2 linked regions of the Drosophila melanogaster genome follow. The protein of the gene in region 1 interacts with the protein of each later gene in a pairwise test. Each region holds a gene or a part of one and is shown in the gene's direction. Other genes may lie near its edges.

Region 1 (7,090 bases):
TTCATCGAGGGCGAGATGGCTCAACGGGGCGTGACCCAGGAGCTCATCGACGAGACGCGCTCCTCCACGGAGCGGATTATGCTGCGCGACCTAATGGAGTTGGCGCGCACAGGAGGAGATTTGGAGGAGCCGGACTACCAGTGTGCAACGCCGGTAAGTGGCGTCTTCTTTGAGGAACAAAACGTAGGAATTTTGATCCCAGAAAGAAGCAAATAAAACTTAATTCAAAGAATAATTCCTACACAAAAAAGAATCCACAATTCATTAAATCCTCACTTATTCCCTGTGTGCAACATTTAACTTATCTCAATTGTTCAGCTTCACATAGCTGCTGCGAATGGATACGTCCGCGTTGTGGAGTTTTTGTTGGAGCAGCATGTCAACGTGGATGCCATGGACAAGGATCTGTGGACACCGGTGCATGCCGCCGCTTGTTGGGGTCATGTAAGTGAAGCCTCGAAGCCGAAAAATGGGAATAATAATTTTAAATATTTCCTTCTTTCAGCTTGAGGTGCTGGAGATGCTGGCCCAGTGTGGTGCTGATCTGAATGTTCGCAACAAGGACGACGAGACTCCTTCAGGTGAGAATATGCGAAAAGGTTGCGGCACTGAATCAACGGTTATCCGGCTAGAGCAAAATAACCATGAATATGAAATTGAGCTATAAATTGTTGTTAATGCGACACGGAAAATGTGTAAATCTAGACTATTTGTAGTAGGAGTAGGAGGAAAGCGCTCTCAGGTGTGAAGAAAGATTGCATTAATTTTTTAGCTTGGCAGGATCAACGATTTATAATGGCTAACTCGAAAAAGTGTTACCCATTTCCGTAAAGTTCCTCCTAGCTCAGTATTTCAAATAAACACATATAGTACATACGTTCATTTAGATGTTAGTTGCCATAAACATAAGAATACACTTAAACGTTTTAACTGGATATTAACAAATCAATCCATCCGCCTTTGTAGACATCTGTGAAGATCCCGAAATCAGGGAGCGAATCGAACAGCTGAAGACGGAGCAGGAGAGCAAACGACTGGCCGAGGCGCAGCGACGACGCGTTCGACGCTCACAGAGCAACAACACAAGGCATTTACATAACATTTATGAGCCATTAAACATAACCATTAAAACTAACTATGCTTTCCACAGAGCCCAATCAGTGCGACGCACTAGTTTGCGAGACAAAACGCTGACAACCAAAAAGGATGCCGTCGAGGAGACCCGGCTGCGTCTGCAGGCGCAGGAGGCGACGGACTCGGAGGCTCCCTCATCGGCAGGGGATCCGCTGACCAATGGCTATGGTTACGGAAACAACAACGGAGAGAAGCGACCCTCGACGGGCAGTTCGAATGGCCAACCACTGCCGCACTCCAAGTCCGCCGATGCGCTGGATAATGCCACCGCCGCTTTGTCGGCCAACGCCACACATTCCTATCCGTCGCGCCGTCCACCGGATGGCCGGGAAAACGATGAACTGCTACGCCTGAAAGCTGCAGGTGCTGCGGGAGAGATGCAGCGAGCCACCTCGGCGGCGGCCGTCATTCTCACCGAGAAGGGTACGGCGGCCAGTGCCGAGGCCGTTCAAATCCAGTCGTCGAAGGAGGCTGCCAACGGCAAGATCAATGTCCAGGTCACCGTCCTCGTGGGTGAGTCAAGCGCCCTTGGCCACGTGTCAGGCTTGCTTCCGCTTTCTCCTTTCAACCAAAGCCAACCATTTACTCAAGCACCCCATCCAGACGCCACCTCCAACCATCCTGTTTGGCTCCCAAGGAGCGTCAACGTATCACAAGAGTTCTGCTTAAGCGCCATTCTGTCCCCGTGTCAATGTCAATGTTTAATGTTTATTTAACGACTCTACTAAAATGGAAATGAAAATACTTCCAACAAGCAAGCAGAGCTAACAGCATGAGTAGACTATAGAATGACGAATGCCCTGTAGGAAATGATAATCGATATCTTGGTTTGAGATTTTTAATAGGATAGCTTCGTGAGATGCATAGCTTAGTTGAGATATATTTTATGGAAATGACAGTCATTGTTGTAGTAAGATACTTTTTATTTCATTATGTTGTAAATATGCTTTGTAAATGACTTCTTTATTTAAATGCCTAAAGTGGAATAGCGTAAGCATATATTACTATTTATGTAAATTATTGCCATTTTAATAGCTTACTACACTAAATGGGTTTTCTGATACTAGAAATCGTACTTAGAAAACAGGGGAGCATGGCTGCAATAAGCATTAGCATTTGACTCGCATGTAACCTCCATCCCATCTACCCGATCACTCCCAATTGGTCAATGGGTATCTGCTAACTTAGTTCTCGGGAAAAGAAGAGAAGAAAAGTAAAATAACATTTGCTTGTTTCCGTTTCATTCTTTTTTGTTGTCGTTGTTGTGCCTCGTTTCGCCCGTTCTGTGTCGTCTGCCTGCCCGCATCATCATCAACAATAAAAACAACAACCACCGCACCACTAAACACCAAACACACCCAACGCCTTGCCAAAAACTTCCAACATCCAGACACCAATAGCACGCACCACCATCAGCAACATCAACAGCAGCAGCAGCAGCAGCAGCAACACCACCACCAGCAACACGTACTGCTGTTGCAGCAACACCAGCAGCTTCAGCAACATCAGCAGCAACAGCAACAGCAGCAGCAGCAGCAGCATGTTGCCTTGGATGGCTACAGCGCCACATTGGCCAATTTGAAGAAGCAACGCTCGCTTTCACGCACCGCCAATGTCCTCAATACTTTCGAATTGTCATCCCAAACAGCTAGCAATGCCCATCCAATTGCAGCAGCTAATGCCACAACAACTAATGGTTCTGTTTTAGGAGCCGGCGGCAGCAGCAGCAACAACAACAACAACCTGAGCACCAGCAACAACAACAACAACGGATCCGCACCGATCTCGACGCAGCCAACATTGGGTCACATGGGCGCGGGAAGCGTGCTATCCGACTTCGAGGGCTCCTCGCCGGCGGGCAGTTCGCTGAACAAGTTCAGCGGCATCACTGGCGACGTGGTCACCGATAGCACCAGTTCCAGTCGCAGGTGTTGCGTCCTGATGTAGAAACTTAGCGAACTACTAGAGTCACAGGGTATTAGAGCAGCCAGAATTGTCAGAGGGATAGGCCATTTGTTAAATGGCAAGAAAAAAGTGTCTTTTTATTAGATTAGCCGTATTCAGTGAGTGAATTGTTGAATGTTGATTACACAAATGCATGTTGGTTTTGAGAACGGGGTTCGATTCTGTGAGCTCCTAGATAACGGCTGAAAGTCGTTGCATTTTCCTAGCAGACACAACAACACACTAAAGACACACACAACCAATTATACGAAACAAATTTATACAAATATACAACCATATGTATACATTTTAAAGAATATTAAAAGAATTACGTATAAAATAATTGTGAGCAGTTTACCTTAGGCGATATATAACAACTAACTAAATCAAAATGAAAAAACATCAAAAAATATTTATATAGCAATGCTAAGTAAGAACCTAACTTAATAGATTTGCTTGGAGTGCATTAGGAATATCTGTGTTTCCGTGTGTGAGTGTTACAACCGAAACAGGCGAAGTATTATGCAACAAGTAAATATTTAACTAAATATATAGTACGATAGCAAAATTGTAGTTAAACCGTGACAGCAAAGTAAAGCAAAGCAATGAGACGAAATGCATAGCACTCAAGCAATTTCCACATATAAGTGTCTAAATGTTTGAATTGAAGGAATGTTAATAATGCCAGGCGGCATAGAGATTTATTTTTTAATGCAACTACTTTGCTCTGCGTTATGTAAGTTGAGTTTTGTTGAGAGGTACAAGAATATATGTATTATTTATGTAGCAGCGGTCTTTGTATATAAACCTACACAATTCCAAAAGATGCAAAAACAACGCGCAATTAGCAAATGAGACTTTTTCGATGAATGTCAAGGCATTAGCTGAACGTTTTGTAAAATAAACAAATGAAATACGAAAAAATTACACACAAATTTGATTTGATTTTGCGCCAGTTAGTTTTTTATATTCCTGTGCTTATATTTCTTATGAAGAATGAAGTTGAAGTAAATATCTACTCTTTTAAATCTCGCGCCAAGGTGCTCCACCTGGCGGGATTTTAATGAACCGCAAGCTTGTCATATGGAAGTAAGTTGGCAGCTTTGCGCATCAGCTGTTGCCTCGTTCGACTTTTGTTTACATTTTTATTGGTTTAAACTTATAAGTTTAAAGATCTAACCTAATGGAATCACTCGCAAAATATCGATACAGTTTGGTGGCTGGCTCCTTCGCAGCTGCAGGAAGCTTTTTCGGAAAACTTCCCAGCCACCTGAGCGCCCAAAAACTACTGAATACTTCGCAAATAAATGAAGACTTTTCTTATTTAGGCAAGATTGTGATTTCTTCAAACAAGCAAAATGTTTATAAATTTATAAAATTTTATTTTATTTATTAGAAATAGCATTACTTCAGCTGCTGCCACTAGTGTTAATGGTAACATGCAACGTTTGCAACTTGCGTTTCTTTTTGAAGGCCCTGCAAATGACTGAACAAACTTTAACGTGCGTCGTTTTAACTGCCGCTTCGAATTATGTCTTATCGGTAGGTGATCCACCGATCTATTTGTTCAATTATGATTACTGTTCGTTATATAGTTTGTCCTAGGTGCGCTTGTTTATCGGGAGCCACTGACAGTACTATCTGGCATCGGAATAACTCTCATTCTGGCTGGTCTTTGGTTTCTTTGCGACGGAGGAACAGTCGAGTCCGAAAAGCAGGACAAAATGGAATAGTAGGAATGGGATTTGCTTAAGATTAGCTTCTTTTATACACATTTTTCATTTGCCATATAACTTTCTGAAGCAGGGATAAAAATAGTTAAAGAAACTTAATTTTCCATTTGTAACTTTAAAATATAAAAATGTTGGGAACCCCAATTAGTCCAAAAAAACGAATGGTTTATATACTTTTGTTTAATGTATGTACTGTTTTGCAAATACATAGTTTTCATTTCATTTATAATGCACTGTTAGTGTGCACGCTTCTTCATTCACGCGGCAATAATTACAACTATTATGTTTTACGTGGTTTTGTATTTTTGTTTTCATCGTTTGTGTGTAAAAGTTTGGCAGAACAAAAAAAGGTGTTGAAATGGGATAGAGCATGACAGTAAGAGCACAAACTATAAATATATTTATCCCTTCGTTTATATATATAGGTAATAGTAATTAATTTTTATAATTCAGAATCGTTATTTAATTGCTAAGACGTATAAATACTTTTTATATTCTTTCTCTCGACATCTGTAATCATCAATCAGCTTCAACGCAGCCAAACAGACAAAAAGTAAAATCAAGCAAGAAATGGCAGATCCAAGTTACATACAAGTTTTGCCCATCTGTCGTTTGTTTTCCTTGGACGAAGTAGTGTTGTGTCCTGTCCTATCCTGTCTGGGAGTTTTAGAAACCCTTGGAGCGCTTACTTTCCTGTATTTAGTTGTAATTCTTTCGTGTTTCTAACAACTATTTTGTTTTATTATTAATACATTATCGAATAAACCAAAATCAAGGGAAATAGGTATAAATCGTATTGAAAAATGCGCACGAATTGATTTGTGTGTCGGCTTCATTTTCGATTCCCTAGTTGCGTTATAAAGGATTCTTTTTGATAGATTTCCATTTCTTATGGTTGAGAGTGGTTTGCGTAACAATAATTGTACGTCTACGTGGCCATTACTTGCATGTTGATGATTGGTTTCCTTGTTTTCTGTATGGAGGTTGTGTTTATGGTTTGCATGAATTGTATGTGTGTTTTGTTTGCGGGGTTAATACGTATTGTATGCTCAGTTTTTGTTCTCCAGCCCGAGTGGCATGCGTTGCGACTGGTTCTGACGGTTTATGTAGCCACCACCACCACCTCCCTGGTTGCCCGCTCCGCCACGACCACGATCGCCCATGGGCCTGCCGCCGCCATACGAGCCATTTACATTACGCTGCTGGTTGCCACCGCGCTGGCCTCGATAGCTTCCACCGCCGCCGCCGGAGGATTCGTAGCGCGACTCCTTGTTGTAGGTGCCACCGCCACCTCCTCCGTTCTGGTAGTAGTTGTTGCCTCCACCATTGCCCGACTCATTGTTGCGGAAGTACACACCGCTCGAATTGCCCGAATTGCGTCCGTTCGTGTTAGATGAGTTGCCGTATTGACGCGACCGGTAGTTGCCCCTGTCGCCGCCGTTGCGCCGCTCGTCACCTCGCCCTCCCTGATCGCGATCCCGGTTATCCCTGTCTCCGCCACGACGCTGATAATTGCCAGAGTTGCGGCGTCCGTCTCCTTGCGAGTTGTTCCAATGGTTGTTACTCTCGTTGTTATCGGCATAACCGCTATTGCCTCCGCCAGTGCTGTGGTCCCTGGGCGTGGCCCACTCCTGCTTGTGGCTGGTGTTGCTGCTGCCATTGGAGGCGGCGCTACTCATGGCATTCATCTCCGAGCTCCACTTGGTTGGCGGTGCCGGTGGCGTGGCCTGGGTGGTCTCGCCTTTGAGCACATTCGTCAGTGCTGCTGTGGCGGCAGCATTTGTATCATTATTACGGGCATGCCATTCATTGTTCTCGACATCTCCACCAGCACCGACACTCGAGGAGCTGTTCACAGATGACGGCTCATCCAGCTGCTGTAGATTTTGCTGCTGCTGCTGCTGTTGTTGTTGCTGCTGTTTCAGCTGCTGCTGGATCTGCTGTTCATAGGAAACAACAGCATTTTCGTATGAGAACCCTGAGGTCACATCGCCCGCCTGCATGCCAATGCCCTGAGGAGCAGGCTGCTGCGGTTGTTGGGTTGGCAGACGCGGCATAATCAGCATTGGTTGCGGCTGCTGCTGTGGTGGCTGTTGACGTTGCTCGTGGATCAGCACCGGCGAGAAAAGCTGCTGCTGCTGCTGCGGACCCTGTTGCTGGGGCTGGGGCTGCTGCGATGGGAACGATTGGTTGGTGAAGGTCAGCGTCAGTATGGCCTGCGTTGGTTCTTCGACATGGTTGGGCTGTTGCGGCTGCTGCTCAAATACCAATCCCTGATT
Region 2 (8,584 bases), on another chromosome or scaffold:
AAACCATAGCCTGAAGCGTCGTTTGCCGGGCAGTTTCAGCAGTACGGGCGAGGAGAGCGATAATCCACCGGAAAGCAGTGGCGAGAAGCGGGCTCGTTCTGGCCAGGAGCTGCCTGTTCCCGTGGCCGTTCCCGTGGCTGCTTCAGCAGCGGCAAGCAACTGACAGTACATGTACATGCTGCAGCCCAGCTGAGGTTATCAGTATCCCGCGGTCTACCACCTGGACAGCAGTCAGTACGGCATCTACAATTCCAGGATCGAGGGCCGCCATGACCAAACCACCTCCAACGAGCGCATATCAAATGTCTAAGCATATCGCATATGGGCACACACACAACTTACTCTAGAGCTAGCCTATAAGACCCACCTCTCTTCGATGATGGGCCCAACTAGTATTGGGCTAATCGCGAGTAGTAATCAAACGATAGGGGAGCCAGATAAGCGAGTCAGCTATTCCAGTGTAAACACTCTAGGCGAATTGCGCTAAAATAATCATATACAAAGCCTTTTACGGTTTTAAAAGGCAGTCACCCCACACAGATCGTTTCGATCTGCCTCTTAAGTATTTAGGTTAAGGAATCGTCATCAGCTAGCCCTAGTTATAAGCCAACCAACGAGCACACTTATAAATCTATCTATATTGTATACACTTAACCATAATTTGTTTTCGAAATGCATAAATGCAAAAACTCCTGAAGTGCTGTGAGTCTATCTACAAATGTAAAGATCCGAGAGCGAGAGAAGTGTGTTATTTTTAAGGCCTAGCCCCGAAAATGAACCTCCAAACCGAACCAGAACACACCCGCACACTAAGTATATTGGTTTTCTATGTCCAAATCCAAGTTTTGCCCTTTGAAAATCACGTAGTTCTTCCTTATTTCAAATTGTTATCACACCAAGTTTTGAAGCGCAACTATTAACGGTGAATGAGAAATGACTTGCGCCCCTAGTTTTGTTTTAATTCTTTAAACAACGAGACCACGAGACTCATTTAATTGTTTCTTTTAATTTTGTATTTGACAGAAGAGAAACGAAATGATGAAAAAAAACGCTAACTGTAAATAATCAATATGTTGTCATATATGCATTAAGCGGTAGGTTAGATAAACAAACTACACAAAGTTGATAGATATAAATGAAATATTGTACAAACTGCTATGGCAAGCGCTGCAGCAAAATCTATATATACACATAGATATATATCTATATATTTGAATGTGTGTATGTGGTTAAACAACAAGAAAATGAAGTGATCTATTACATTATTGTAAAATATATCAAAAAACTGAGAAAAAAAAAAAACAAAACACAAACAAACATAAAATCTTATACAAAAAAATGACAAAAAATAAAGAAATCAATGTGAATATACAATGTTTTTTTTTATTGATTAATCACGTCAAAAGCGGGTTTGGAAGAATAGATATTCCTGAAAAACGAATACAAAACATTATTGTGGCAAATGATATATGTATATAAACTAGGAGCACAGTACCAGTAGAAAGGCTGATCCCAGTATCAAAGCCCGCTCCTTGGCGGTTAGCTTGGCGTCACTAAAGTATATATTTGTGGTGTACTGAGACTTGCTGGCGAGCCATTTGTGGTCTATGGAAGCCCTCATATTGCCTCCCGAATGGATCTGTAAGGGAACAAAAACACTATAATTGAATATTCTGTTCCGAATGTTAAAGCTACTACCAACCTTAAAATAACAATCTTTGGGCAAACTGAAGCAGCAGAATCCTAAACCGACAGGACCCTCTACACAGAATGTTAGTTGTCCTGTGCTTTCGTCTTCGATAAAGAACTCCGGCTGCATGAAGGTGGGCGACTGCACCACTTTACCCAGCAAATTACCAGGTGGTATCCAAATTTCTAGACTTTTTGCCTGGCAGCACATGGATCCCATCGCTAGTTTTTTGCGAAAAACCAGAGCTTCCTGGTGCGTTTTATCCAGCAGGTGCATCTGAAAGGGTCGACCAGCTCCCCAAAGTAGTCGATTTTTTTCTGTGGAACTCTCGTTGGCCGCGAAAATGGCATCACCCAGTGGAGATCGCACCACATATCGATTCTCCGAGGAGACGCCTGTTAGGGCTGCAAAGGGAAGACGAACTATTAGAAGCGATTTTAGCTAATTTTTGGGCTTGTACTTACCATCGTTAAGCTCAAAGGTCTGTTCAATATGTACGGACGGCAGATCTGCTAGGCAATCGTATCCGGAAAGTGGGATAAGCGTCCGGCTTCCCGTAACCGTGGCAATTGGCACTGGCAGCGGGATGCGTGGAGCCTCCGGCCTGGGTTGTGAGGTAATGCTGATATGGGAGTCATAAACTGAAGAAAAACAAACAAATCGTATATAGACCATTTTCCAATACGAGCAGAATCGTAAGGTTGTCCATATTGTTATCTTTGAACTAAGATTTTATAAACCTTTTCCATATCTTTAGGGTATTACAAACTTTTCCATAGATTGAATTTTGAAAGTTTTTAATATTTTAATTAAATTTAAATTTCATTTAAAGTTGTAGTTTTAAGATCATAATTTTACAGTGAATTTGAATTAAATAAAAATGGTTGTTGAACATTCTGCTAATAATAGCTCTGAGTAATAGCAATATTATTGAAAATATTTTGTGGTTATAACAAATCGTTTAGATTAAAACTTTAGTAGTTTTTCGATTTTTTCATAATCTTGTCACATAAATATTTTATTACTTTTCTTGGAATAGGAAAATGTTGGTATAGGATACAGCTAATATCATGGGTACGGTTTTACTATCGGATTGATCGCTGGGTTCGATCGTCCCAAACAAAGGCACTTGAGGAGTCGCAGACCATAACAAAACGCTGGCCGATAAGATATAGCCAACTTGTGGCCGCATTTTTGCGTCGAACTGTGTGACACACTCGCTCGCAACAATAATTAATCCGGTGCACTGCTTATCAGTTGGTAACAATTCGGTTACCCTTTTGCCAGGGTGATTCACTCGCTGTTTTTATTCGTTTTCTAAAGCCATATGCCCTAAATTACCTCTCGGTTCTGAGAGACTTGGCTGCTGGGCCACACGGATCTCACTGTCGTATTGCAAAGTGCGCACCGCGTTGTTTTGCAACATTTCGCCAGCACTTTTCAAACTTATTTGACGGCGGTCTAAATGAAATTGATAACGGTGGTCAGTGGGGCAGTAGCACAACGGAAGTTAAGTGCTTTGTGCCCCTCGCCTGGTCACACTTCCTGACTCAGATGATTTTAATACTCTATTACGAACGTTCTCATGTGAAATAGTAATAATAGCTTATTTATAGTGCTATTTTGTAAACTTTAATTCATGCGAATGTTGCAGGTTTTCAAAATATTCGTTTATGCTGCTCAAGCTGAATGTGGATAAATATATATTCAAATCCAGAGCTGCCACCTGATTCAAACTGTTTAGTAACGTATTTTCTGCACTTGCGATATATACTAAATTATCGCGGGATAAACGTGCTATCGCACTTGGGTCATACTAAGCCTTACGGTTTATTTTGCTAGCAGCAAAACAGAAATAAAACCTTTACTTAAATTTATTTATCAGAATTTGTCTCGTGTGAACTTGAAATTAAAGTCCGTCACCGTGTTCTCGGACCGAAGTTTGCTAAATGACGTGGAGACGAGCAGCAGGTGAGCGAGCGATGAAAATTGCAACAGTGCTGGCCATTTGGCCGACGATTTGTTGTTGTGGAATTTTTTGGCCAAAATTCGGGTTGTTTTCAAATCGGTTAGTCAAGGGGTTGGTAATCAAGGAACCAAAGTGCGCAGCCGCTGGAGCGGGAGCGGCGTAAACAAATGCCAGTGGGGTAGTGGTTCTCGGTGGGGGCTTAATCTCTGGAGCGCAAATAGCGACAGTGTTCTCTGGGCCATCGGTGGAACCAGCTAAGTCGGCGGAATCCACAAGAAATCGAGCGATAAGCGGCGGAGCGGGTCCAAGTGCAATAATCAATAAACGTGCTGTTCAAACATCGCTGCTAGGCGAAAGATAAAACCCAGTCGATTGTGAAATTCCTGCTATATAGAACGGATTGAAAGCAAAAATTTGCTCCCCATTTGCTTGCCTTTTGATGTAACTCCCACGAAGTGCTTTTGCTATTGCCAACTTGCAATTTGCCCCCTTGTACCTTTGGGGGGTGGTTTTCGCCCGGAAAAATCCATGAAAAGAACCGTCAAGTGCGCCACGCTGGTGAAAAACTGCTAGGAGTGTTAGTTTTCGTTTTGTGGCAAGAAGAGAACGCGGCATGTCTCTGGAGGATCCGTTTTTCGTGGTCAAGGAGTAGGTGTCCCCGATTTGGCAGATGGCCACATGCACTGCTGGTGGAAAGTGCTATCTTACTTATATCTCTGTTTTTTCTTTCATTTCCCTCCCCTTCCCCAACAGCGAGGTATTCAAAGCTCTGAACAAAACCCGCGGCCTCTATCTGCGTTGGCGGGAGCTGGGCGAGAACGGCGGAACGGAGGCTGAATGGACCACCACCGAGCTGCGTAACTCGCTACGGAGCATCGAGTGGGATCTCGAGGACCTCGAGGACACTATCAATATCCTTTTGCAAAGACCATTGAAAAATCAATTCGTTACCTGGTACTCATTTATCGAATTGCATTGTCTGTTTTATTTTCGCATAAAGAGGTTGAGATCCCATTTAAAATTGCTGAATATGCAATTTATTCGTGATTTAATTCGCTCGTTTATTAGTATTATACTAATAAACTGTACAGAACTTGTTTTTTTGGCACTATAATTGTAAAAAAAGAGTACTTGGTATCTTAAGGTCGGTAGAACCGACTTTCTAGCTCATCAGTCTCCTCGGTTTTCTCCTTAACCCATACCATTTTGACTCACACGCATCGTTGAGAAGAATCCAAGCAAGTTTCGGATCGACAACCGCGAACTCTCCAGCCGGCGCCACTTCATCGACAACACTCGCGATGAGGTCAAGCAGATGAAGGATAAGATGAGCCTGAACCGGAGCCGGGACAGAGACATCACCGCACACCAGCCGCTGCTCGACAACGATCGCCACAGCCCCAATCACAATCATTCCATTGCCATACCCAATTCGAATTCCAACTCCAACGAGTACCATCAGCATCCACACAACGATCGCACGTACCTCGTGGAGTGTCCCAACGGCAACTCGCTGATCAATAGCGGCAGTCAGGTGGCCAATACCATAGCTGGGACCATGTCGGCGGCAGCGGCAGCAGCATCCCGCCACAGCGGCACCAAGTACTCCAAGCTGGAGAACGCCCTGGACAGTCCCAGTCACTATGGGCAGACGCATCACGGCGGCATGGACAGTCCGAGTCATAGGTACGTGGGCGAAACAGTGTCCATACAGCAGCGTATGATCCAGGGACAGGATGAGCAGCTAGACATGATCAGCGATTCGATTGGTACCCTCAAGACGGTCTCGCGGCAAATTGGCGTTGAGCTCGATGAGCAGGCCGTCATGCTAGACGACTTTGGGAACGAGTTCGATACCACGGAGTCCAAGTTGGATACGACCATGAAGAAAGTTGCCAAAGTCTTGCACATGAATAATGGTGAGTGGTGCGGCACTTGTGGTATTCAAGGACTATTTTGATTGAAATATTAATGAAGAGTAAATGCTTCAGTGAACCACAATCAAAATTACCCATTGAATACTTTTGTGACTTCTGATTCCTAATTCTTAACTGTATCCATCTTCTTTCACAGATAAACGACAGTGGGCCGCCATTCTCATCCTATCCGGACTGTTATTGTTTGTGATAATTTTGTTTATTATTTTGTAATTGCTTTCGTTGTTCCCAAATCGTTTATATTTAGTGTAAATTAGATTTATTTATGACTTAGCTTGCTTTTGAATTCGGGCTCTTAATTACAATTCCATGTAAACTCCCTTGCTGTATATACACGGAAACATTTTAACCTGATTTATTACCAGCCGCCTCTCTCTATATATATATAATGTAATTCCAAAGCTACGGACAAATGATCATGTAAAGTCAATGTAGGCGGGTAATAAAAGATAACTAACTACTTACATATAAACCAAGTGCTCCAGAGTTCTGTCATTCCCAATTTGGCCAAAGGATACTGCAACTGTAAGCTGTATATACATCGAAGGATATATCTGCATATATATACATACAAACAAAATGGACCTACCAATATCAAACGAGTTATTTAACGAAGAGTCTTAGGAAATTTCACTAACCAAATCTAGCAAAAACTTGTATGCAATTGAGTAAATATATATACTTATAAATTAAATTCCTAATTTAAAGCCAAATGAGGTACTTCTTACGGGTCACCTAGAAATACTGTATGAGTGCACAGAGAGAAATTGTATACATATACAAAAATTTGTTCGCTATTTTGAAAGCCTAAATTAAACAAAAATTGGAAATACAAGCTTTCAAATTTTTTAATGTTTTTAAGGATAGTAGGATTAGTCAAGATGTTATCTTCTGATAGATCAATGATTTGGAAAATGGTATTTAATACCAAATTTTTCTCTGTGCACAAGGAGAGGGTATCAGGCCCCTTCTCATGTTCTCTCTGCGCCCCAAAACCACTCGACAGCCCACTCGATTTGCCCACTCACTCAGCTGTGTTGCATGCTTTTGCCCGGAGCTTTTTGGCGAGCTTACAGTCTGCGCACAGTGGCGCAACCAAAGGGGTATCTTCGAAAGGCTTGAAACATAACCCCTACGGGGAATCCGGACTACGCCACTGGGTCACAGCATAAGCACACGGGCAGAGCGGCACGTTTCCATGTGATGTTTTTCGGGTTTCGGCATTCAGTGTTGTTTGCCTTTTCCGCGGAGCTGGAGTTTTCCCAGCAGTTGGCATATAGTATATATATATATCTCCTGATATTCCGGTAGAAATGTTCAATTGTTGAATTACTTCGGCTAAGCGGCATTCAAAGTTATTTTGGTGAGTGACAGTGCGCAGTGAAGTGAACATACCCACCCATTATCACCCCCAAATATGCAGTAACCCAAAATTCGACTTCCTCTCGGATGTTTGTGGTTGGTTTTCCTATTGTGTGCAGTTTTTGTTGCCGCTGAAAACCTTGAGCATTTTGTTGGCCAAAAATATATAAAATCAATGTCAAACGGCGGAAGATGGGATACCGCTTCCATTTCTTTCCCCCCCCCCCCCCACTTACTGCTCTTCGTGGAAACACTCAGATTTCAGTTGACCGCCAGGTAAAACCAGCTGGTCCGGTTGGCTAGATACTCCTTCTGGGATTTTTCCTCCGCTTTCCCTTTGCTGCCGTGGCTATTAATAAATGCATGTGGCCAGAAGAAGCGAGTGAACATATTTCAGACTACATGTGTTCTTGGTGGCCGTGTGTTTTCCTTTGGACGCCAGTGTGTTGCTCGTGGTTTTCATTGCTGGGTGGGGGGAGCTTTTTCGAAACTCTTATCAAAAGTCGGATTCGCGGGCAGGGATTCGTTCGTTATCGAAACAGATGAGCGAACATGCCGTTACTTTTTAATCAAAAGACGTGTGTAGTTTATGTTGTACGGAAAGTGGACGGTAATAAAACTCAAGTGTCTGGAATTGCAATGCACCATTGCCATAAGCAAATTTCCAATGCACAGTAAGCAAAAATGGCAAAAAAAAACACAAAATTAATTCTGTTGGTGAAAATATCATGTTATATATCAGCAAATTACCCGCACAGACTGTTGTTTATGTATATTATACGATAAGTTTATTGCGAAATCAATTTACAATGCTATTTTTGAAAGTGAAAGGGAAATTGAAAAGCCATATCTGTGAAAGCAAAATGGGAATTTTGAAAAGCAAATTTCCTACAACCATAAGAATTTTTAAAAGGGCTTGTTTTATTCACTTTAACATTTGCAATGGATAGTAAAGCTAACGTATTCACGTTCTGAGATTTTAGGCATGACTGCGAATAAGTGATATTGTATTACAATTTACACAGTTTTAACGCCAAGCATTTGTAAGCTTACTGTTGCATAAAATTGAAAAAAAAATTTACAAATTTTTGAATAGCTTGCAATTTTGAAAAATGCATCCAAATATAATTTTCTAAATATTGTGTGATTAAAGGAAACCATAATGCTTACTGTTGCGTAAAATTAAAAACCAATTTTACAAATTTCTGAATAGATTGCTATTTCGAAAAATTCATCCAAATATAATTTTCTAAATATTGTGTGTTTAAAGGAAACCATAATTAAATAATGCTTACTGTTGCATAAAATTGAAAAACAATTTTACAAATTTTTAAATAGTTTGCAAGTTTGAAAAAATCATCCAAATATAATTTTCTAAATATTGTGGGTTGAAAAGGGAACCATACTTAATGTGCTTTTAAGTATACCAGATTTTTTTCAAGTGTACGCACAATTGCCCACAACCCACTTACTCACACTCTAGCACATTCGAACTTATGGTGTTTATTATTTAATTTGCTTTTCTCCTGTTGCTCTGCTACCCCTTTATTTCCAAACCAGATATTCAGTTACCCGGAATGAGTGGCGCACAGCGGAATCAGGATCGCAAGATCGTTGTCATCGGAG

Evidence for each region. Proteins that work in one complex are often made in the same cells at the same time.
Region 2: the proteins of CG42495 (region 1) and Syx6 interact in a two-hybrid assay, tested with the Drosophila melanogaster proteins (one large-scale study listed by BioGRID).

What each region holds. Positions count from the first base shown.
Region 1 is NT_037436.4:18,663,174-18,670,263, forward strand, and holds CG42495 (uncharacterized protein), read left to right. Parts: upstream 1-4,187; 5' UTR 4,188-4,261; coding exon 4,262-4,406; intron 4,407-4,474; coding exon 4,475-4,620; intron 4,621-4,673; coding exon 4,674-4,811; 3' UTR 4,812-4,962; downstream 4,963-7,090. Other genes in the region: MYPT-75D (myosin phosphatase targeting subunit 75D), read left to right, coding at 1-153, 319-444, 506-581, 967-1,087, 1,151-1,647, 2,525-3,081; Capr (caprin), read right to left, coding at 5,861-7,090.
Region 2 is NT_033778.4:11,216,052-11,224,635, forward strand, and holds Syx6 (syntaxin 6), read left to right. Parts: upstream 1-3,882; 5' UTR 3,883-4,272; coding exon of another isoform or gene 4,273-4,307; 5' UTR 4,308-4,329; coding exon 4,330-4,570; intron 4,571-4,876; coding exon 4,877-5,578; intron 5,579-5,732; coding exon 5,733-5,809; 3' UTR 5,810-6,287; downstream 6,288-8,584. Other genes in the region: shn (schnurri), read left to right, coding at 1-163; CG9084 (uncharacterized protein), read right to left, coding at 1,400-1,429, 1,496-1,639, 1,703-2,112, 2,155-2,331, 3,032-3,116; CG7737 (uncharacterized protein), read left to right, coding at 7,548-7,632, 8,519-8,584.